Astyanax mexicanus: one gene and its partner. The protein of the gene in region 1 purifies or fractionates together with the protein of each later gene. This does not show direct contact. Links are inferred from orthologs where the notes say so. Each region holds a gene or a part of one and is shown in the gene's direction. Other genes may lie near its edges. The genes, in order: mlf1 and dnajb6a.

Evidence for each region.
Region 2: the proteins of mlf1 (region 1) and dnajb6a purify together in Homo sapiens (affinity purification with mass spectrometry; 3 studies listed by BioGRID and IntAct, counting the BioPlex papers as one, with this or other methods). This does not show direct contact. The link is inferred for Astyanax mexicanus from reciprocal best matches to the Homo sapiens genes MLF1 and DNAJB6.

The regions. Positions count from the first base shown.
Region 1 is NC_064411.1:42,831,307-42,842,795, reverse strand, and holds the start of mlf1 (myeloid leukemia factor 1), read left to right. Parts: upstream 1-6,348; 5' UTR 6,349-6,496; coding exon 6,497-6,543; intron 6,544-10,339; coding exon 10,340-10,502; intron 10,503-11,489. Other genes in the region: rsrc1 (serine/Arginine-related protein 53), read left to right, coding at 2,597-2,689. UniProt on the Homo sapiens protein: Involved in lineage commitment of primary hemopoietic progenitors by restricting erythroid formation and enhancing myeloid formation.
Region 2 is NC_064411.1:34,553,556-34,565,325, reverse strand, and holds the start of dnajb6a (dnaJ homolog subfamily B member 6a), read left to right. Parts: upstream 1-7,204; 5' UTR 7,205-7,355; intron 7,356-9,777; 5' UTR 9,778-9,813; coding exon 9,814-9,878; intron 9,879-10,034; coding exon 10,035-10,144; intron 10,145-11,654; coding exon 11,655-11,714; intron 11,715-11,770. UniProt on the Homo sapiens protein: Has a stimulatory effect on the ATPase activity of HSP70 in a dose-dependent and time-dependent manner and hence acts as a co-chaperone of HSP70. Plays an indispensable role in the organization of KRT8/KRT18 filaments.

The DNA.
Region 1 (11,489 bases):
CAGGCAGGCTTTAACTCGACATAAATGATACACTTATCTCCTCTCCCGGAGCCCGCCACACACACACTCGCATGCACACACTCACGGATATACACACACACACACGCACGGATGGAAGTGATCAGTCTTTTCCCAGGCGCAGATTTGATTTCACGCCTTTCGTGTTGTTTGGATGAAAGTAAAGACTGATGAGCGTCTGCGAAGAGTCTCCAACTTCCAAACTTAAGGAACTCATAAGCCCAACTAATGTGGGAATCACTCAAATCCCTGCTTTCACGCTGACACCCAAATCACTCTTATGCATTACGCTGTCGTATGTGCTTATGATACAGCGCCGTTTAGCCTCTCCCTCGCTCCTCTCTTTCCAAATCGAATCAAAACCCAGCGAGCGCCTCATATTAAGCCAGCTCAGACAATTAGAGACCAGCACTGGCACGCATTAAGAAAACAATACAAAACATTTGTTTTAATGGGTTACACTGACTTCGGATCTGTGCGGTCTATGATACCATTAAGCGGAGCTCGGCCAAATCCAGACCCTAAGTAGATTACAAGTGATGTCAATGTTAGGAGGAGCACATGTAGGGAATTTAAATTTCGAGTCCATCACTGTACTTTGAATATGAATAGACAGTCTGAACTCAAGCCAGGCTTAGTGAATAAGCCTAATGAAGCATTCGCCGTTTGCTATAAGACAGACAGACTAACTTTATTTCCTGCCATAGAGGAAATTAGTTTTTCATTTCTCCATTTGTATATGCAAAACACACAGACACAAAAAATAATGAGTGTAATATGCACATTAATAACATACAGAATCATCTGTTGAGCAGGTCATCAATCCAGCAGCAACCAGCAGCTTGCAAGGAGACAGTTCCTACTTATAATATGTTTAAACATTAGTTGATAAAGAGCCACATAAAGAGTTAATAAATGTTAAGAAAGAGGCATTATACACTGATACGTCAAAATGTCATAGGAAAGGAATTAGTAACATGATCGATGACCGTTGCTACTATATGTCCCATGGTCCCAAGCTAAATACCGCTGCGTTGACCTGTTCGATTGAAATGTGTGCGGGACCTTCTGCTTTGAGTGTGGTTGTTATTTTTTTAAGCATTGACACTTCTAGCCAGACACAGCCAGTCACAATACATCATAGAAGGCATTACTTCCACCCACAGTGGACAGCACAGTGGATGGTAGTAATGCCTTCTATGATGTATTCCCAGTACACATGTGACATCGTCAGCTTGTAATGAGCACACTGGCCATGACAGATTTTACACCTCACTCACAAGATAACACCTCACAGCTTATACAGGTGTGGGCATTCAAGCCAACCCAAGCTGTCTTCTAAAGAAGCACTGCATGATCACTTTGCATACTGCTATCCCATGACTATTGGTAATATTAATGTAATGTCAATGTATACACCTTGTTTTTTTAGTGTATTGGGTTCAAAAACATCACTACCCACTGATCACTTTACTAGAATTTAAAGTTTTAATATTTTTACACATCAGTTTTTACATAAATTTGCTTAAAAATATTATTTTTAAATGCACTGTATGTCCAAATGACCTTCTACAGATTTTACAGCTGCATAATATTTTAAACACTCCGTAAAATCCACAATCACAGTAGCCTGATCTGAGCAGCCTCAAAACTATTAGTCTTTTGCAGAAAGAAATGCCTGAAAATCACTCAGTCTTGCTTATTATATTATATATTTTTGTTTGTCGCTAACTTTAACTTTCGTAAACCAGGTAATCTATTATTTTTGTTAATTTACACCAACAAATATTCTCAACATGATGCCCAAAATGTAATATTTCTCTGTATTAGAATACGAACAAAACAGCTCTAGTGAGCCATCTTGTGGTTGTTTTGTCGGTCTGCAGAGCCTTTTGGATTATCAAGAAAACACTGAACAGTCTCTGAGGTGTCTCCTCTCATGTTAAGTAAAATTATAAGATATATAAAATTTACATATCAGACTATCCAATCTTTTTCATGCAGCAGACCATTTGGTGGAAATGGGAAAAAATGAAACATTACTAAACCAAAAACCTGGCATTACTGTAAATCATACAATTAAAAGAATCAAACTAGTTAGTAACTGTAGCAAGTGAAAATACCATCTTTTTAAAGTGCTTTTTACTAACATTTTAATACTGTGGTTTGATCCACTGGACTGCAACTCTCCTAGTAGTTTATCATCATTATTAATGTCATAATCCATAGCTATAATAATAATAGTCATGTTCAAAATATGAATTTCATTGGAAAAATTAATTTCTACATTTAAAATGACAAATTAATTTGATCTGAAGTTAGACAGTGTAATGTAATATGCAGTTTTAAATTTGAACTTAACCAGAACATTAAATATTCTATAAACATATCATGTGAAATTATAGTTAAATGAACAATTTCTGCAACTGCTTAACTTGATTTATACACAGATTTACTAGTATAAATCAGTTCTGTTTAAAGGAGTGAAGCTCAGACAGAACTGATTCCACATCACCTGAGAGAAGAGAGATAAAGCTGAAGAATCAAACTGTTCACTGACCCTGTGATTCTCTTGCAGTTGTTCATAGACAAAGAAGAAGCAGAGAAGCTGTGGCTGAATCGACTGCTGTCTCTGCGTCAGGAGAGGCTGATGGGGAGTCCAGTTTCCTGACCACACCTTTCTAACCAGCATCTCGGACACATTCAACTTATTTTTTTTATACTCAGTAGACCCACATGCCTGTTGGAAATAGAAGAATAATTTGAAGGCTTTTTAAACTTTAGATTTTTTATTTTTGGATGTATAGTATAGTTGCAGCGACAGTATGTCAAACTAATGCTGCAAAATTATAGGAATCTGAAAGAATGTGACAACCACTGGAATGTGACTTTTAAAGTGAGGTGTTTTCAGTAAATTCTGATCAATGTAACAGATCAAAATATTATGACCCCATCTTTTTTTTTTTTTTTTTTATACTCATTGTCCATTTGATCGGCTCCACTGAGCATATAGGAGCATTGTGTAATTCTATAATAACAGACTCAGGACCACAGAGGACCACCACACCACACACTTCTGAGGTTTTTTAATTCTCCACCCTTACTAGTACAACACACACACTAACACATCACCATCATGCCACTGTGTGTCACTGCAGTGCTGAGAATAACCCACCACCCAAATAATAGCTGCTCTGTGTGGGTTTATCATGTGGGGTCCTGATAATTGAAAAAGAGGGTGAAAGGAGGATAATAATAAAGTATGCAAAGAAACCATGTCTACAGGCTGTATTTATTATAGTATTACTACATTTAAATTATCTGTATTACTACAAAGTGAAAAAAAAAAAAAACGGAAAATGAGTGTGGAAACAAGCAGATGATCATAATACTGTGATATGACGATGTATTCACATTTGTATTAATGTTTTGATGATTGATTAAAGGCAAAAAAAAGATCCACTTCACTGGGTTCTTGTTTTCTGTTGTTGTTGTTGTTGTTGTTATTATTATTACATGTTGATTTTTGTTGTTCTGTTTATTAAAATCTCATTACCTTACATTGTGATCAAATTCAAAACCAAATTATGTTTCAAATGGTGCAAAACTTTTATGATTTATAATTAATGTCACTTTACAGCCTAATGAATAGTGGCCCAACAGGAGAACCATATGTAAGTGAACACCTACATGTATTTTCCCTCATTTTATGCTATTAATGCTGTATTCCACAGCATTGTTGTGTTGTTTTATTGTTTTGAGTTTACTTTCTACAAAAATTAAATAAAATTGCTGTTTTAATGGTGTAATAATGTTTATACACTGTTTGTTTTTCTGTTTTCTGGAAGTCCTGTGTGATTAACTCTCAGGTCAGGGTCAGGGTAAAATCACAGAAGCCATTGAGATCAACGGGCTTCATGGTCAGCAGTGGAGACAGCAGTAGGCCTTGTGTAGGCCTTGGTCTGATGTCCAGCCTTGAGATCTATTTTCAGACAGTGTAGATGGACCTTCTGCAGCTCGGCTCTATTTGCGGAAATGTCCTGCTCCTGCCCTGGACATGTTGAGGTAAAGTCTATAAAGAAATTAGGTGTTAAGATTGTTAATGGCTGTTCTACAGAGGTCATGGTTGCTGCTAGGTGTGTGTATGTGTACGTGTGTGTGTGTACTTGCATGTGTGCTAGCTAACATATGGATTCCTATACATTATGTGTGTGTGCTCCTCTGCATGTTTACTAGATTATGTGTGATTGTATATTTACACAAGTGTACCCCCTATCAGTGTATGTGTGCCCACAAGCAGATGGTCAATCTTACAGCAGGCTGGCAGATGCCAGGGTGTCCAATAGCAGCAGCTCCCACTCCTGCCTGCTGGATGTTCTTACAGGCATCCTTCACACTTCCTTAAGTAGATATGATGACAACAGGACCTCTTCCACTGTTCATTTGGACAGTGTCTAAAATCAGCCCTAATTCTTCTTACAATAAGTGAAAAAAGTGGTCATTAAGTCAATTGGTAAGTTATCATTTACATTTTTATTGATTTAAATGTTCATTATATTTTGTACATTACATAATTATTTATAAACACAGAATATGTTTAGTACAATACAAAGAGGGCAAATAAATGCAGTTAGAATATACCAGAACTACACATAGTGCTGATGGAGTTTAAAAAATCCTCAGTGTCACTGCTGATCTGAGAATAGTGTGGACAACAACCTGTGAATTTACATCTACAAGGTAGCGCAGTTATAGGTAGGTGTGTCTAATTGCACAGATAGTGAGTGACACAGAGGTGTTTAAGAACTCCAGTAGCACTGTTGTGTCTGATACACTTGTAACCACACAACACACAATACTACCACATCAATACTATGCCACTGTGTGTCACTCCAGTGCTGTTGTGAATGAATAATAGCTGCTCTGTGGTGGTCTCTCCTGTGGGGTCCTGATTATAGAAAATCAGGATAAAATAAGGATGATAATAAAAATAATAAAGTAGATAAAGAAAAACAGATACAGGACAACAGTAATTATTGTAATTATGCTGTACAGTTACAAAGTGCTCCTATATGCTTAGTGGAGCTGAAAAATGGATAATGGGTTTAGGAACAAGGTCAAACTGTTATGCTTGATCGAAGTATGTATCAGTACTTATAATACTTATCAATACTTTATATGGACAAAAGTATTGGGACATTTGGTTGCATTAAACAAAAGGAGTATTGATAAGGACAGTTTGTTTGATAATGTACTCTTATCTTGTTTTTTTGTAGCGTTCTAGTGTTCTAGTATTAAGTACATCTACAGAGCTTTTTCACCACCTTCCTAAAATAATTATCATTTGCAAAATTGAATTTTTTGCCTGTGGTAAAATAGTTTATGCCCTCAGCTGTTTAGATCATTTGTTTTAACCCCTTTAGGATAATGGCCTATGTCAAGAGTGTGACTTAAGCTAATTCATTATGCCTAAGTCAGAATAAAATCTGACTCATTTTAATAGCTTTCCAAGATGACTACCTACCATCTATCTATATACCTATCTCTCTATCCATCTATTTATCTACCTGTCTACCATACATCTGTATACCTATCTGCCTATTCATATATTTAACTTTAGTTAAGTAATTTCCATGATTCAGGGCTTGTCCCAAATTGGTGATGAGATTTTTATTATAATGTAGTTTACGTCTCGTTAATAAAGGCTATAGGCCATACATATTGCATAGTTTAGTTTTTTATCATTATTATTGAGATGTTTAGTCTGCATTAGTCCATAGCCCATAAAGCTTTTATATACATTTACAAATATGTATTTTTACATAACCAAAAGTATATTTCTGGTTGCTTCTGCATTATTATACTGTTTTTATATACTTTAACTTAAAAACCATTACCACTTTTTTAATAGCCATAATAACTGTAATATGTTGGTGTTTCCTGAAATACGGTGAATATTTTAGTATTGTGTCGATATATAAAGGCAGAATATGTTTAAAATATATTGTTAATATAAAAGCTAACAAATGCTTATTTTTCAGTGTACAGTATGTGTTGTGTTAGTAAATGGGTGGGCAGACTTTAATCAGAACACGACTGGTTAGCATGATAATAATAATACGTTTATTTTAGCTCTATTTGCGTATATAAGTATTTAGACAGAAATTTCCAGACTTTTCTTTTTCTAGAAACCGCTTCTGTCTAGGACACGCGCTCCCATGATATCTGCGGGGGGCGGGGGGGGACACCTGTGCCAGCCAATCAGGAGCGCCAAAGCGGGTCACGTGGTTTTCTCAGCGGGCACGCGAGCGCTCTAATGTGTTTTAAGTTACGATGGAAACGGCATTAGAGCCTCTGCTGGAGAGAAGGACGAGTTAAGTTACTGCAGGACTAACTGGACTCAGGCACTGTCACTGTCTGATTTTACCTCATTAAACTGAATTAACCAGTTTATTTAGGCTCTACTGAACCTGTGGAAATGTTCAACAGCCTTCTCAGGGATTTTGACGAGGACCCTTTCTTCTCGTAAGTCTCTCAGTGTAACTGTCAGGTTTATTTTTGTGTCTGTCAGCTATCTCTCTCAGGCTCCCGTTATTAAAGTAACCTAGCTAACTAGATAAATGCTAAGCGAACTAGCTTAAATGTCTTACTACTATCTAACGTTAAATTAGCCAACTAACTGGTTTTGTCAAACATTTAACGCCAATTTAGGTTAGTTAACAAGTGTACGCTAGAGTTGGCTTAATTTCTCTGCTGTATAACCTAACTAAGTGAACTAAACTTTCTGTGCGTTATTTTAACTTTCTTTAAACATAAACTTGCGTTGTTGGCGTTCAAAAGTTACCTCAAACGGTGTGTCATTTAGCTAGCTAGGCCTCTTTTTTCAAGAATGTATTATCTAACTAACTTAATTAAACGTTAGCTAGTTTACTTGTAGCTAGATGTTTTTTTTTAGCATAAAGTATCAGATAACTAAAACAAATGTTTACCTGTTCCTTGGTATTCTGACCTTAAAGCTCTGAAAATAAGAGACCACTTAAAATTATGAGTTTCTTTGATTTTTACCCAATTAAAAACCTCTGGAATATAAACAAGAGGAAAATGGATGATCACAAGCCATCAAACCAAACTGAACTGCTTGAATTTTTGCACGAGGAGTGGCGTAAAGTTATCCAAAAGCAGTGTGTAAGACTGGTGGAGGAGAACTTGCCAAGATGCATAACGCCAGGGTTATTTTCCCAAGTGTTGGTTTCTGAAGTGTAAAATTGACTTGGGTTGTAGTGAAACATGATAATAAGTACAAACTTTAATCCAATAGCCCATCTCTGTTCATCCCCAGCATTCCAAAATACAGCTCTTTTAGCCGATGCTCCCAGCTGGCTAGTGGGACATAGCCATTGCAAAGAAATAACTATTTTTACACAATTAACAAGTTTAAAGTAGCTTCACACTTTTAAGGAGAATTCTGAGGGCCCTGAGAACTTTAAATGTGCAAAGTTTATTTAAAAAGACTGTTTATACACACAGTACCTTCAGGTAGTTCTCCAGACACTACCATCCTAAAATTTAAGTCATGGTGCATCCCCAGTTAAAATGTTACCATATAGTACTAATCGAAAGTTGACGTTTTTCTTTATTAAATGTATTTACTCATTGTAGAATAAATTACCCGCAGCAAAACAATTAAGGGACACATTTGGAATTATTTTAAACTTTTGATTCCTACCATATAGGGCTGCAGCTATCGATTATTTTAGTAATCGAGTACTCTACTGAAAAATCAATTCGATTAATCGAGTAATCGGATAAAACATATTTGTTTGCTTAAAGAGTAATTAAAAAACACAAGAAAAAAACAAGACATTTAACTTAATAATGAATGACCAATTGATTTCCTTTTTTAGATAAGTTATATTTTTAAATTTACAACATACATTTCCAAACGGCAAACACAAATAGAAATAAAGGGATAATAATAATTTAATTAATCAATAAAAAAGGCATAAACATTTGCATTATGTTGTGCATCTTAGCCTCTGAACAGCAGAGATGTTGCCAGTTCGTCTCACCAAGCCGGTGACTTGTATTAGTATAAAACTCCACAGCGCTGTATTCACTTACATAAAGCCTGTATTAAGTCCAAAATTGTCTGTTTGTTTTTTTAACTAACCGCACATTAGACAGTATTCCTAATAATCAGCGCTCCACAGCGCTGTCGTTATGTTATTAAGGTACATACATGTTAATCTCACTGATTAATTATAGGTTATATTAACATTCTATTGGCTCCACTGCTAACGTGTCCTCGGCTAAGACGGTGCAGCATTAAAAACGTGCTGTTGTGGGAAGCAGAGCGAATACACGCTGTCCAGCTTAAAAAAGCTGCATTATTATTGTCCTTTTTCCTCGTAAGTTGTTGCTCTGTCCCCCTGCAGCTTCAAAATACCCTCTTCTTAACTAAATCCACCGCTGCCTGCTCCTCCTTCCTGCGCGCGGGTGACGTAACTCTGAGCGCGCTGTCACATTAAAAGCACGAATTACCGCGCGCTGAGTTCAATTAAATAAACGATTACTCGAGGCACAGAAAATCACTCGATCATTTTTTTAAATCGAGTAACTCGAATAACTCGAGGAATCGTTTCACCCTTACTACCATACATCCTTCATATCCCCAGCATTGTGGTTCTGAACACGACAGAAAGGAGAGGCTTATAATCTCTGATTATACCTTTGCAGTTTTAGTTATATGATTATATGATATATTGCTTAAATACATGGTAGTTTGAGGTGACTTATCGCCCAGCAGTGTGAATGCTGGGTTAAACCCAACTGAGATGAGTGATTTGGGATGAGCTGGAGCTTCACATCATAGCGTGAGGGAAAAGCAGCAACTATTGTTCAGCACCTCCAGGAACTCCAAGATACTGAGAACTATTTCAACCTCATAAAGCCAATGAGAAAATACCAAGAGTGTGCAAATCTGTCCTTAAAGCTAAATGTGGCTAAAATACAAAACATGCTCAGTATGAAATTTACAATTTAAAAAAAAATAATAATTTTTGAATGAGAAAAGGTGTGTCCAAATTTGTGACTGGTGCTGTATATTCAGAAGTATCCACCGCTTGTTATTGTTGGTTACTGTAACTTAGTAAACATTAAGTTGTAGCCATAGCCAACACCGGTGTTTAGTTGCACACATACAGCTTGTGTCTTTCTAAAGCAACCAAACTTGATCCTAAGACAGCCTTGCCATCCCCCCCATAGATTGGCACAAATCTCACTGGACTGTGTAACAGTGGAACTCTCTGGAGTTCTTAATCACCACAGTTCAGTTCCTTTGGATTGATTTAAATTGGAACTTGTGATCCAGAGCTAGCCGATGGGTTAAATTAATCAATAAATAAATCAATAAATAGGACAGCTCTTTATTAATACTGTAATTTCAGTAGAACACAGGCATCTACAAACCTTTCTTTGGACCTGTGAGTCTGACCTGACACACCACAATGGCTGTATTATTTATGTACTTGTAATTGTCAGATTTTGCACCTATATGCAAAGTAACTTTGGCCTGCTACTGAGTGGAGAGGGCTATTTAGAGTGTTGGTGTGTGTGTTGCTTTAATGGTGGCTTTGTATGTTTGGCAGCGCTTTAGTCATCAGAGATAAATAGCCTACTTGTTGATCAAACTGTTGTGGTAAATAAAAATTGGGCTGCGAAGTGAAACCAAGATAGAGATGAATAAGCAGATAGGTATATAGATTGTTAGTAGATAGGTGTGGGTATATTAATAAATGGATAGACAGATGGTTATATAGATAGGTATAGGTAGGTAAATAGATGGATAGATAGATGTGTATATAAATAGGTATAGGTGAGTGAATAGATGGATAGACAAAGGGGTATATAGGTAAATGGGTTTAGGTAATTAAATAGATGGATAGACAGATGGTATATAGATAGATGGTAGATAGGTATAGGTTGGTAAATAGATGAACAGTTGGGTAGATATATTTGACATTGAGCTATAAAAGTATGTATAAATGCATGATAAAGTGCCAGTATAAAAGCATAAGAATAAACAGTGTAAGCTCATTGGAAATAACAGGCAGCGTGAAGCCTCAGTAAAATTGGTTAATTATCCCGTATGTTGATTCACTTGCTCAAAACCTGCTTTTCCTTTCCTCTTTCTCTCTCTTTCCTATTCTTTTAGCTCAAACAGGTAGGCTTTCCTTTATTCCTTCTTGTCAATCTCCTATACTTAATTCATCATGAACAAAGGTCTGATTGGCGTTTTCTGGTCTCTCTCTCTGTCTGATAGTGATCCATTCCAGGCCCACAATGAGCACATACGACAAATGATGAGGAGCTTCTCGGATCCCTTTGGCCACAGCTTTATGCCCAGTATCACAGATGGACGGGACAGGGGACGAAGGCGAGAGTCCCATCCTGGCAACAGCGTAGCCATCCATAATGACCACAGAGTAAGTACTGAAAACTAAGCTAACATGGGAATTCCATCAATTTTCAAATGATTGTATAATTAAATCATTTAGATGGCTATTGTTCACTCCACCAGTCCATACAATTATAAATATATAAATATATAAATATTTGTGGACAATAGATTTCAAAAACAACCCATTTAAAAAAAGTCTAATTTTAAAGTCTGGAGAACCAGGTATTTAGCATCTTTCTACCTGTTTAGCTTACCACAGTTTAGTGCCACACAATAAAATCACAGTTTAAATCAGGAGGTTTTTTGTTTTTTAAAGCTCTGAGTGATTTCTGTTAGTAAAGTTTAAAGTAGCAAGAAATTAATTACAACCATATTTGGATCGTAAAATAATAGAAAGCGCAAAAAAAATGTAATATGGGCCAATTTTAATATATTTAGCAACTCAAGTTCTTTACAGGGCTATTGATGGGAACCAAGGGACGTAATGCGTGCAACACAAATATAGCCATTTAGTTTGCATTTTAAAATGCTCAGTTAATCCTCACCTGTCTTCGGAGTTTGATATGTAATGTTAATCATGGTGGAACAGTGACAGAATTCATTTTATAGTCAATAATTTTATATTAATGTGTCCAAGTCATCTAGCTATCTATGTCTTCAGTCTCAGGGGGATTTATTTGGCCGTGTGTATTTTCATGAAACAGAACCTGGCTTTGACATTGTTAGCCTATCAAAACACGTTGACCCCTACAGCGTTTGTACACTTGGCTCACCCTCTAAACAGACTGTTTTAGTCTGTATACTTGCAATTCCCATAGTTAGGACATTGAATCCAATACCTTAGTCCAGTTCTTCAGCTTATGCTGACCCACATAGTCTCTGTCCTCTTGGCCGGTGAGTAAAATGACCTGAACATGTGTTCAACGTCCAGCATCGTCTCCTTTCAGCACACAACAGTAGTTAAAATAACATCAATAAAAGTCCAGCAAAGGGAGTGTACTGAGTTCATGAT
Region 2 (11,770 bases), about 8.3 Mb from region 1:
TTGGAGATGCCCAAAATTACAGTTGGAGATGCCAAAAATGACACTTGGAGATGCCCAAAAGGACACTTGGAGATGCCAAAAATGACACTTGTAGATCTCCAAAACGAGCCTAGAGATGCCCAAAAGGACATTTGGAGATCTCCAAAACGACCCTGGAGATGCCCAAAAGGACATTTGGAGATCTCCAAAATGAACCTGGAGATGCCCAAAATGACATTTGGAGATGCCCAAAATGACACTTGGAGATGCCCAAAAGGACACTTGGTGATGCCAAAAATAACACTTGTAGAAGCCCAAAAGGACCCTGGAGATGCCCAAAACGACACCTGGAGATACCCAAAAAGAAATTTGGAGATGCCAAAAAATGACACTTGGAGATGCCAAAAATGACACTTGGAGATGTCCAAAAGGACACTTGGAGATGCCCAAAAGGACATTTGGAGATGCCCAAAAGGACATTTGGAGATGCCCAAAAGGACATTTGGAGATGCCCAAAATGACATTTGGAGATGCCCAAAATTACAGTTGGAGATGCCAAAAATGACACTTGGAGATGTCCAAAAGGACATTTGGAGATGCCCAAAAGGACATTTGGAGATGCCCAAAAGAACACTTGGAGATCTCCAAAAGGAGCCTGGAGATGCCCAAAATGACACTTGGAGATCTCCGAAAGGAAGCTGGAGATGCCCAAAATGACACTTGGAGATCTCCGAAAGGAAGCTGGAGATGCCCAAAATGACACTTGGAGATCTCCGAAAGGAAGCTGGAGATGCCCAAAATGACACTTGGAGATCTCCAAAAGGACCCTAAAGATTCCCAAAATGACACTTGGTGCTGCCAAAAATGACACTTGGAGATCTCCAAAATTACCCTGGAGATGTCCAAAATGACACTTGGAGATCTCCAAAAGGACCCTAAAGATTCCCAAAATGACACTTGGAGATGCCCAAAATGACACTTAGAGATACCAAAAATTACACTTGGAGATGCCCAAAAGGACACTTGGTGATGCCAAAAATAACACTTGTAGAAGCCCAAAATGACACTTGGAGATGCCCAAAATTACAGTTGGAGATGCCAAAAATGACACTTGGAGATGCCCAAAAGGACACTTGGAGATGTCCAAAAGAACACTTGGAGATCTCCAAAAGGAGCCTGGAGATGCCCAAAATGACACTTGGAGATTTCCGAAAGGAAGCTGGAGATGCCCAAAATGACACTTGGAGATCTCCGAAAGGAAGCTGGAGATGCCCAAAATGACATTTGGAGATGCCCAAAAGGATACTTGGTGATGCCAAAAATAACACTTGGAAATCTCCAAAAGGACCCTGGAGATGCCCAAAATGACACTTGGAGATCTCCGAAAGGAAGCTGGAGATGCCCAAAATGACATTTGGAGATGCCCAAAAGGATACTTGGTGATGCCAAAAATAACACTTGGAAATCTCCAAAAGGACCCTAAAGATTCCCAAAATGACACTTGGAGATGCCCAAAATGACATTTGGAGATGCCCAAAATGATACTTGGAGATGCCCAAAATTACACTTTGAGATGCCAAAAATGACACTTGGAGATGCCCAAAATAACAGTTGGAGATGCCAAAAATGACACTTGGAGATGCCAAAAATGACACTTGGAGATGCCCAAAAGCACAAAGAGAGATACCAGAAATGACACTTGGAGGTGCCCAAAATGACCCTGGATATGTCCAAAATGACATTTGGAGATTCCCAAAAGGACACTTGGAGATGCACAAAAATGACACTGAGATATGCCAGAAATGACACTTGGAGACGACCAAAAGTACACTTGGAGATGCCAAAAAGGACACTTGCAGACGCTTAAAAGGACACTTGGAGATTACCAAAAGGACACACGGTAATCTACTAAGGGAAATTCAGAGCACCTGGGGATGCCCAAAAGGACAAATGGAAGCCCCCAAAATTTACATTTGGACATGATCAAAAAGATGCTTTGAAACACTCAAAAGGAGAATTTAAGCACTTGGCGATGTCAAAATTCACACGTGGAGATTCCTGAACAGACATGCAAAAAGGAATACTTGGATATGTCCAAAATGACACTTAAAAAATCCCAAAAAGATACTTGAAGAATCACATATTGGCAGGTAGCACCCCAAAAAACACACCAACCTGCACATCTTACAGGAGCCCCACATTAAATGTCATTTCTTATTACAGCATAAGTGGATACCTGAAAATGCTCAAATGGACACATAGAGATCCCCAAAAGGATAGTTGAAGAAACTTGGAGATGCCTAAAATGACAGTTAGAGATGCCCAAGGATACTTGAAGATCCATAAAGGGGCATTCTGTGTGGCACTGCTGACCAAGTCAAAAAATCCTTTTTTGTTGACTTAACCATCCTTTTTAGAATTGCTCCATACTCCGAATAATAATTAGCATTGTTATAATGCTGAGCTACGTTCATCTGGCTGCTACACTTCTTACTGCACTGTGCTAGTCAAGTACTAGCGACTCCTATTTCCTGTATTGCATTGCCAATGTGAGTAAAGCACGAAAAAACCTTCTGATGTCCTCCCCCTGCAGTTCTCTTTTCTCAGGAACATCTGGCTTGCTTTGTTCTCTGTTGCACATCTGTGTGTTTTTCCTTTTTATTCATGCAGAAGGCCTAAGCACCAAGTCAAAAGTACCATAATCACAAAGCAAGAAGTGGGCAATATACCACTGGCATCCTCTTACGTACCAGTTCAGTTCAGAAATGCAATATATTGGTCTACTGACTTGTATCTAAACATATTACATTAAGGGGTTTAAATTTAGCTCTGTTTCTAAATCAGTTTCTCTGATTTTGCTATTTATAGGCATATGTTTGAGTAAAATGAACATTGTTGTTTTATTATATAAACTATGAACAAAATTTCTGCCAAATGCCAAATAAACATATTGTCATTTAAAACATTTATTTGCAGAAAACAAGAAAAACAAGTTCAAATTCATAAAGATTTATGGGTTCAGAAATCAGTATTTGGTGCATCTTTTCATGCATCTTGGCATGTTATCCTCCACCAGTCCTACACACTGCTTTTGGATAACTTTATGCCACTCCTGGTGCAAGAATTGAAGCAGTTCAGCATGGTTTGATGGCTTGTGATAATCCATTCATAATAATTTCTCTTGATTATAGTCCAGAGGTTTTCAATTTGGTAATATCAAAGAAACTCGTCATTTTTAAGTGTTCTCTTATTTTTTTTTCTATACCATTAAAAGAGCGAAGTATTTCAGCAACATATTATACAGTATATATACAGTATACAGGATGTGATTACATTTAAACATTTTATATGTGTAATTTCAGTATTGTTTTTAGACTTTGTGCTTTATTTAATTGAGGCACTGTGAACAACTCTAGTAATACAAGTGTAGAGTAATTTAAAGATTGAATGCTGTAGTTTTAAACATTTTAAACATTAACACTTTGTCAATTTTATAAACATTGGGTCTGTTTTCGTAAAAACTAATTATGTCTGCTTTAGCCTTGCTTTCATCTTTTTTACGTGCCCATGCTACCTGGATGTGTAGTTAACATGAAGCAGCAGTCTACGCTTTTTGACTCCCTCTCTTTTTAAGTTTTTATGGACGAATGATCAGTCACAGGAACAGCTTCCACTAAATAAAAACACAGCGCTGAGTAACACACCACAAAACACCACAAAATAAAAAGAGCACAGATGGGCTTCCCTAAGCAGCTGTAGCTGTGCGACAGTACGTGCTGAAAGCCAAAGGCTAGCTTCCTTCATCTGCAGTTCTATAGCTGTATATTCTATGTATTAAAGCAACATGTGGTTCGAATCTGATAGACAGTGCACACAAACTTGTCTCAAATGTTGGTTGGTTGTGTTTTGTTGTCTGAAGTTAGCTTTCTCTAATTTTACACTGGCTTTATAAGGCTAATGTTGTTAGCTACCAGATAATGGCTAATTGTGTACACTGATTAGCATCATACAAACTGCATGGCTCAATAATTAATGTGTTGTGTTGTATAATGTCAAATAGACTCGCTTATGTGTTTTAATATGTACTTTTTGGTCAAGAATCAGACAAAATATGTGCATGTTAGTAAGCTAATATTAACTAGCCCTGTATGGCATGATGTTACCCTAAGGCAAATCTGCGGCATATCTGCGTCCAATACAATGATACATACAAGTGGGTCATAAATAAAAATATGTGTATGTTCAATGATATTTAAAGAATAGTAATTGGCTGTTTATATTCATACTATATTCTTACATTCTTGTTGTACTAAAACAAGGTTTTTCATTTGCTTCTTTGGGAAACATTATGTAGATCCCTTTTTTATAGCTATGATGATAAAGCAGTGGTAAAATAAAAGTGTCTTCAAGTATATATTTTAAGGTATACTAAACATACATGAAAAAGTACATGATTTTTTAAAATTAAAATATGTACTTAAGTGCATATTAAATGTACTATTTTAGAACAATGTATGGCAAATTAAAGATACTTCAATTGTAATTACACTATATTTAAACACAATGCAAAAGCATTAAATTGTGCTTCTGAGTGCTAACGTAGATTCAAGTATGTGTTTTTAAACACTTTTTTTAATACACTTGATATTGATGCACATATTGTGTACACCTTAATGCTACTGGGGGGAAAATACACTAAAGTGCACTTTAAGCAGTATTTAATGCCACCATATATATATTCTATCAACACCAGATATGATTTAAAGCATTTCTCAAAAAATAAATTTGATGGAAATACAGAGAAAGTATATTTTATGTTGTATTTTTTTTTTAATATTATATTGATAATGCACTTTTAGTATTCTTTATCTAATTTGAACATTTTTTTATGCTCTTAAGTTTAGTTCCTTTTCACAAGGGGATTCAAATAATCAAAATAAGCAATTATGTAAAAAGATCTCTCAAATAGTGGTGTGATTTTTATTCTTCCCAAAATATAAAATATAATCCATGCCATAGAGGGTTAATAAAAAGTAACAATAAAAGTGAATAAACACATTTTTCCCCCATTTTGTTAATGTGAAAGTGGATATATCTGTCTGAGTCACATTAAAAAGTTTATAAAAGTTTTCAACTTAATTTCCTTATATGTGCAGTGTACAATTTTAAAATTTGTTAATAACTCACATATTGCTAAATTTCTGAAAGGTAAAGACGGATTTATTGGCAAAAAAGGTTTTATTTCGTTTTATTTAATATCTGTTTTATTTATTCATAATAATTCACTATATGTTCTACAGTGTTGGAATTTTGTAAATTGTATTATTTTCACACAATATAGTAATATATTACTAGTTTACAATATTGTATAACTGTAAAATGCAAAAAAAAAAGCTTATCTTATGTTTAAATGCAGCTAGCTAAATGAAGTTTGCTACAATAGTAATGAAGCTTTGTTTTGCCCAGAAATAGACTTCCTTTATTGTTTCCTGTGGAGAAATAACCTCTCATGGTGATAAGGACTGAACCTGTGCTGCTGCTTGAATCAGCCGCAGCATCTGGACTGTGTAAAGCATGAGCGTGTTCAGGGACAAAGCACTTGCTGTTGAGCTGTTTTACAACCCAGCGTAACTAGACACAGATGAACCTTTGAGCAGAAAAGCAGCACCTGTTTCCTCCACTCTTCTTTAACTGAACCAGATCTCTAAAATCTTGCGCTAAATGGGTTTTTTAACATCTTGATTTCCGGCAAATTCCATTCAGTCATTGTCAGTGGCTAGAGTTTTGTATTCCTTTAATGTGTCTGTTTCTGTACTGTATTTTAAAGAGTAGGGCTACACTGTCCTTTAAAGAGCCACTACTAAACCCTAACCCATATTTTTTCCATTAATATCTGAATTGTGTTTCTATGAAGTAATAAAATATACCAGTCCTGCTTATTTTTTTAAACATTTCCTAAACTTTAAAAAACATTTTCATTGTAATCATTTCCGCCTCTGCATTGCCCCCACAGTTTGAACTGTGCTATAGATGAGGATGATGTGTCTGTGTATTTTTGGTACGCAGACACATCACAATATGCAGATCAATCCATCAATAATACCACCCCCACGCTGATATCAAACTAGCTGAGTCTCACACTGCTGCTACTGCAACTTAGCCAATCAGCTCTCCTTCCTCTAAACCCATACATCACCCAGTGCCTCGCCCAATCTACCCCTCCCATTTTTTTCCCATTTTCAAATTTGAGCTGAGGCCGGAGTCAGCAAAAATCAAGGGGTTTTGTGCCCCTTCAAAAGTGTAGGACTCTCTTTATAAAATGAGAATTTCAGTAAGTATGACAAAATTAGGCTGGGTATACACTGACATGCTGAAAGTCATGGGATAGCAGTTTGTAAATTGATCATGAAGTGTTATCTCAAGTTGTGAGGTGTTATCTTGTGAGTTAGGCTTAACACTGGCCAGCAAGCTCATGGCAATGTTATTATGTTATATGTTATATTATATTATCTTATGCATTCTCATCGTATTATCATCGGAGATATGATTCCTCTAAGGCTTGGAAATGAATAGGTGTGTATATGATGATGCAGGATTGTGCAGAACCAACAGAGGGAGCCCTTTACCTTAACTTACAAACCCTTACATCAACGTTTCAGAAATAGGAGGATTAAAATAAATATGTAAGGGTGAAAATGTGTAAATGTGTAAATACATGAAAGAAAAGTTCATATAGAGAACTCATTTCCACAGATTTTAAATATATATATATATAATTACTTAAATATATTATTTTTAATGCAACTATAGTTTAGCGCATACATGTTTTAGTTACGACATTGTTTATGTTATGTATATTAATTAAATTCAGCAGATACACAGTTTTGTTTTAAGGCTACGTATAACGTATACTGTTTGTATGTTTCTTGTAGGAGATTTACTCAATTATTTTCACTTAGGATTTCAATCAGTTTGCTTTTTGTACAGGATGTGTCCCAATACACACACTTCTCCACTTCACGTACTTCAGTAATGCGTGTACTTACTGAACACAGCCTGTAGTACAGTATAAAAGTGTAGTATGGTTATGATCAATATAAAAGTGTGTATAAACATTTCTCAATCATACCGGAATGTTGTTTGAAGTAGGAATGTGAGATTTGGGACACAGCCGGATCCTTACAGGACGTTGCGCCATAAACCAGCAGCAGGTTAATCAGCTACATAATCGGACACAGCGCGCATGCGCAGAGGCAGTGTAGAGGCGGTGTTTCGTTGTATTAAGAAGTACATCTGAAAAACAAGCGGGTTTAAAAGGATATACTCAAAGAAGCGCCGCTCGCAGAGGCCTGTACCTGCCGCGGGCAGTCAGAAAGGTATGTCACGGTGTGAACATTATACCGGGAAGGTCCGTTTTTAAAGCTGTTTACATAAAAATTCGCCTGTTTGGTGGGGCGAGAAGGAAGCTAGCTAGCTAGCTTACCTTAGCTAACGCTAACTGGCTAATGCTGCATAGCGATGATATTATAGCTAGCCTACTAGCATAGCATAACTAACGATGCAGTCTGTGTTTTCGCTCTGTAGCTAATTAGCTAAACAGTAATTCCGTGTATTTTACATGTGGTCAGTGGGTGTGTGTTCGTAAATAAGCATAAAACACATTCTGTGAGCGCATTATTGTTTGGATAGAGCTATAAAATAAGAAATTCATCCACCCGTGAATCTCCTGTGAGCTCTGTAGCTAGGGCTGTGTTGATAGATACTTAGCTAGGTAGCTAGCTAACAGACAGACAGGCAGATAAATAGATTAGATACTTTATTAACTATAAGGCATTTAGCAACCAGAGTTAGTAGTTTCACAACACAGCACTGGTTGTGGATGAAAATTTAATGAAAACTAGTGTTTTCATTTAATAGTTCAGATTGTATTGTACTACTGTAAACAAGATGATATATTATCATTGTTTAAATCTAATTTTAGGAAAACTCTCCTAGTTTATGGATTTATAGAATCTGGGTAAAAGAAAAAGTTGCTTCTTATCCAATCAGAATAGTGGTATCTAAAAACAGACTACAACACTGTCATCTAGTTGGGCAGGTTTAAGGACAACACAACACGAAATAAACCACTGTCTTGAGACACCAATACTGTGTTTGTGTTGACCATTGATACAGTATTGCAAAACAAAATAACAAATGTAATGATAACTTGATATATTACTGCGTTATTATGGGTTAATGTTCATATTCATACTAAAAGAGAGAACTTCTTTTTTTCAGAACAGTGCTCCATTTAACCAGGCTTGGCAACTGTCATACACATTTTCTTTGTCCGACCTAACATCTGTGTTATTAGACTGAAATTACTAGTTTTAAAATTACAAAATTCACCAACTCAGCAAGCACATAGACTTCTTTTCAAAACTGTGAGATTACTTTTCTGTTTCTAATTACTGAGTGTGTGTGGTAATGGCTCAGATATGTTACAGATTCAGCATCTGAAGATTAGGAGGTGCTGAAAATCGTAGACCCTGTCTAGATTGTACCCTGAAGGGATTTAACCACCTGTTTACACGTGGTTGTCAAAAGCATGTCCAATCTGAATGCTGTGTATGATAGCCTACGCAAAATAGTTTGTTACACTGCAATTATTAGTCAATTAGGGTTGTTGAGTGTGTCTTGAAGAGATGGATGTGGCTTAAATGCATCTCAAACCACCTCCTTCAGTGGTCAGATTTGTGTGGCTTGGCCTTATCCAGATATAATACTCATAATATACTCATAACACACAGAGTAACCAGGTATGAACAGCATATTGGCTATATAAAGGCTCATCTCACATTTGCCAACAAGCATCTTGATAATCCTCAGGAATTTGGGAAAATATTATGTGGACTAATAAGACAAAAGTGGAACTCTTTGGAAGATGTGTGTTCCATTACATTTGGGACACAACTCGTTGAGAAAAAAGTACTCAAAGCCAAGTGTGGTGGTGGTAGTGTGATGGTTTGGGGCTGCTTTGCTGCTTCAGGACCTGGACAACTTGCTGTAATAGAAACATTAATTCTGCTCTCTATAAAAAAAATGAAGGAGACTATCCGGGCAATAGTTTGTTGCCTTAAGTTCAGGCATGCTTGGGTTCTGAAGCAAGACCAAAAATTCCTCCACAGAGTTTAATTATCAGGTATCCCCACCAAGCATTTACCCCCTTTAAAAAACAAAACAAAAAAAAAACCTAAGTATAACAAAGAAAAAAATCTGTATGGGGCAAATACTTTTTTTCATGCCACTGTATATCTGACACATCTTTCTGAATAGTTAATACTCTTAAACTGACTTGTATATGCAAAAGAGTAATACTTCACACGAGGTTTCAGTTTTGTCTTCGCCACTCTCAGATGCTGTCATGCTTGATTTCCAGAGGCTGACAGCCATGCTTATTGTTGAGAATGTGTGTAAAAAGGGCACGTTATTTCGCCATGCCTACCTACATTTTCTTTTGTTATTTTGACCGAATTCAGTATGTACAGAATTTCAAATTTCCCTGTTTTAAAATAATGTTGTAACGATTGTTTGCTTAAGAAAAAAACAATTATTTATGACCACTTCTCATTTTAGTTTTTAGTCACCTTGTTCTATTTATCAGGTTTATTTTTTCATTAATTTTAAATGTCTCTGAAGATGTTTGCTTTTTTAAAATTCATTTTAGTTTTTCTTTGGTGTTTCCTGTACTGTATGCTTCATTCCTTGTTTTCTTTATTGAGACACATCAATTTAAATGTTTGTATTTCATTTTAGGTCATCAAAGCTTGATCAGAAGGTACGTGTAAAGCCATGGTGGAGTATTACCAGATTTTAGGAGTGCAGAAGACTTCGTCTCCAGAAGACATAAAGAAAGCGTAAGTGTCTTTTTACCAGATAATAGAAACAGAACAAGTAAGAGAATAAAAAACTGAAACTAAACATTATTGTGGTATTTCCTGTCTTTAGTGACTTAAGAACTGAACTTTTGGGCTTGGTTGTAATTGTGTTTTTTTTATTCTGTTTAATTGTAGGTACAGAAAACTAGCTCTAAAATGGCATCCAGATAAGAACCCAGACAACAAGGACGAGGCTGAGAAAAAGTTTAAAGAGATCTCTGAAGCTTATGAAGTCCTTTCAGATGGTAAGATATGGTTAATTGTGTTAATTGTGAAGCATCAATATGTCTAATATCAATGAATGTAAAAGGAGACCAGCTGTGCCTGTAGGTTTTTTCAGTTCAGGACTGGGCACAGTTTTATTGATCTAACCATACTTGCAAGGTCAAAAATCCTAACACATTTTATTCAGTTATGGTATTTTTGTCCATGCAATCTTAAATTTCAATATTTGATGTAGTTTTATGATGGATAATTTTTTGTTTAAAAATACACACGAATGCCATAGCTTTTAAGAAGATTTATGGACTGTTAGAGAGTTTGTAGTTTTAAACTAACCCTTATTAATCATTAGCTGTGTATGCAGTTTTACAATTGTTGTTGCATTTTGCAAGTTACAGGAGAATCTTTGGTACTTACCTGCACATTTTTGTGAGTTTACTGCTCTGATACAGCACTGCAACACTTAAAGAGCTTGTGTCTGATCTAATAAAATATGCAGGAAGGTTGCCTCCAGGACCAGGGATGAGAAACACTAAGCTACCAGAACCAGTATTTGGCACACTGCTCTACACATTTATAGTGCTTCCCTGCTTTCAATGCACCTGGTCCAACAAATCCAACCAGATCAACCTTAACAACCCTTTACTGATCAATCTCGGGGCTCATATTGACATAATTAAGGGATTGTGGTTAAAATAAACACAATCGTTTTATTACTGATCCAGATTCCAGCCCACAGTTTGTGCTTGACCATTTACGAGCCTTAGAGTTAACACAGGCACATCACCAATCCAGATTCCTGTTCAGTAGTTTACTGTACCTTAGCTGTTGGTTTAAGTAAAATGTTTTTTTTTTTTGGAGATATTTTAGTCTGAAAATGCTGAAAATCAATACAGTAAAGCCACAGTAAAGAGGGTTGGAGGTACGGCTGTCAATTAATTAACCCATTTAATCAGCATCTTCTGGGAGTTCATCTGAGACAACCACTCAATCACGCTTTCTAAAAAACTTTAGCAGTCGACCCAAATAATAAAGGGATTACAGAGAAGTAGCCAATTTTATATTATACTCAGCAACAAGTTACTGATTACATGTATTTACATATATGTTTGCCAATGTGTACATGCTGTGTGCTCTGTTTTAGCCTACCCTCATGATGTGACCTTAAGCACAACAATATAATAGAATATATAAAAATGAGACAAGCGCTTGTATTAGAATTAGTATTGGTATCTGCTTTTGTTTATTAGACTCGGATTGGAACTAAAAAGAAGTGTATCTGCTCACCACTATAGTAAAAAATGAATTGCGGTATGTCCCCAGGACTAGGGACGGTAAGCACTGAGCTAAAGCAGCGGGAACTAATGGTGGTCTTAAACAGTGGGTGTCAGTTCTTTGATTTTCTGTGCATGAGTCAAATATTGTTGCATCGTGTTACAGCGATGTCTTTTCTTTCTTTTTTTTTTTTTGTTAAAAAAAAATCATTTTGTCATTTTAAAATGCCTTTTAATCTTTTTCTTTTTTGTTCTACAGCCGATAAGCGAAGTCTTTATGATCGGTATGGTAAAGAAGGCTTATCAGGAAGGAGTGGAGGTATGTTAATATCTTAAGTTAACTATATTTTTAATTGATTATAACAATATTACATA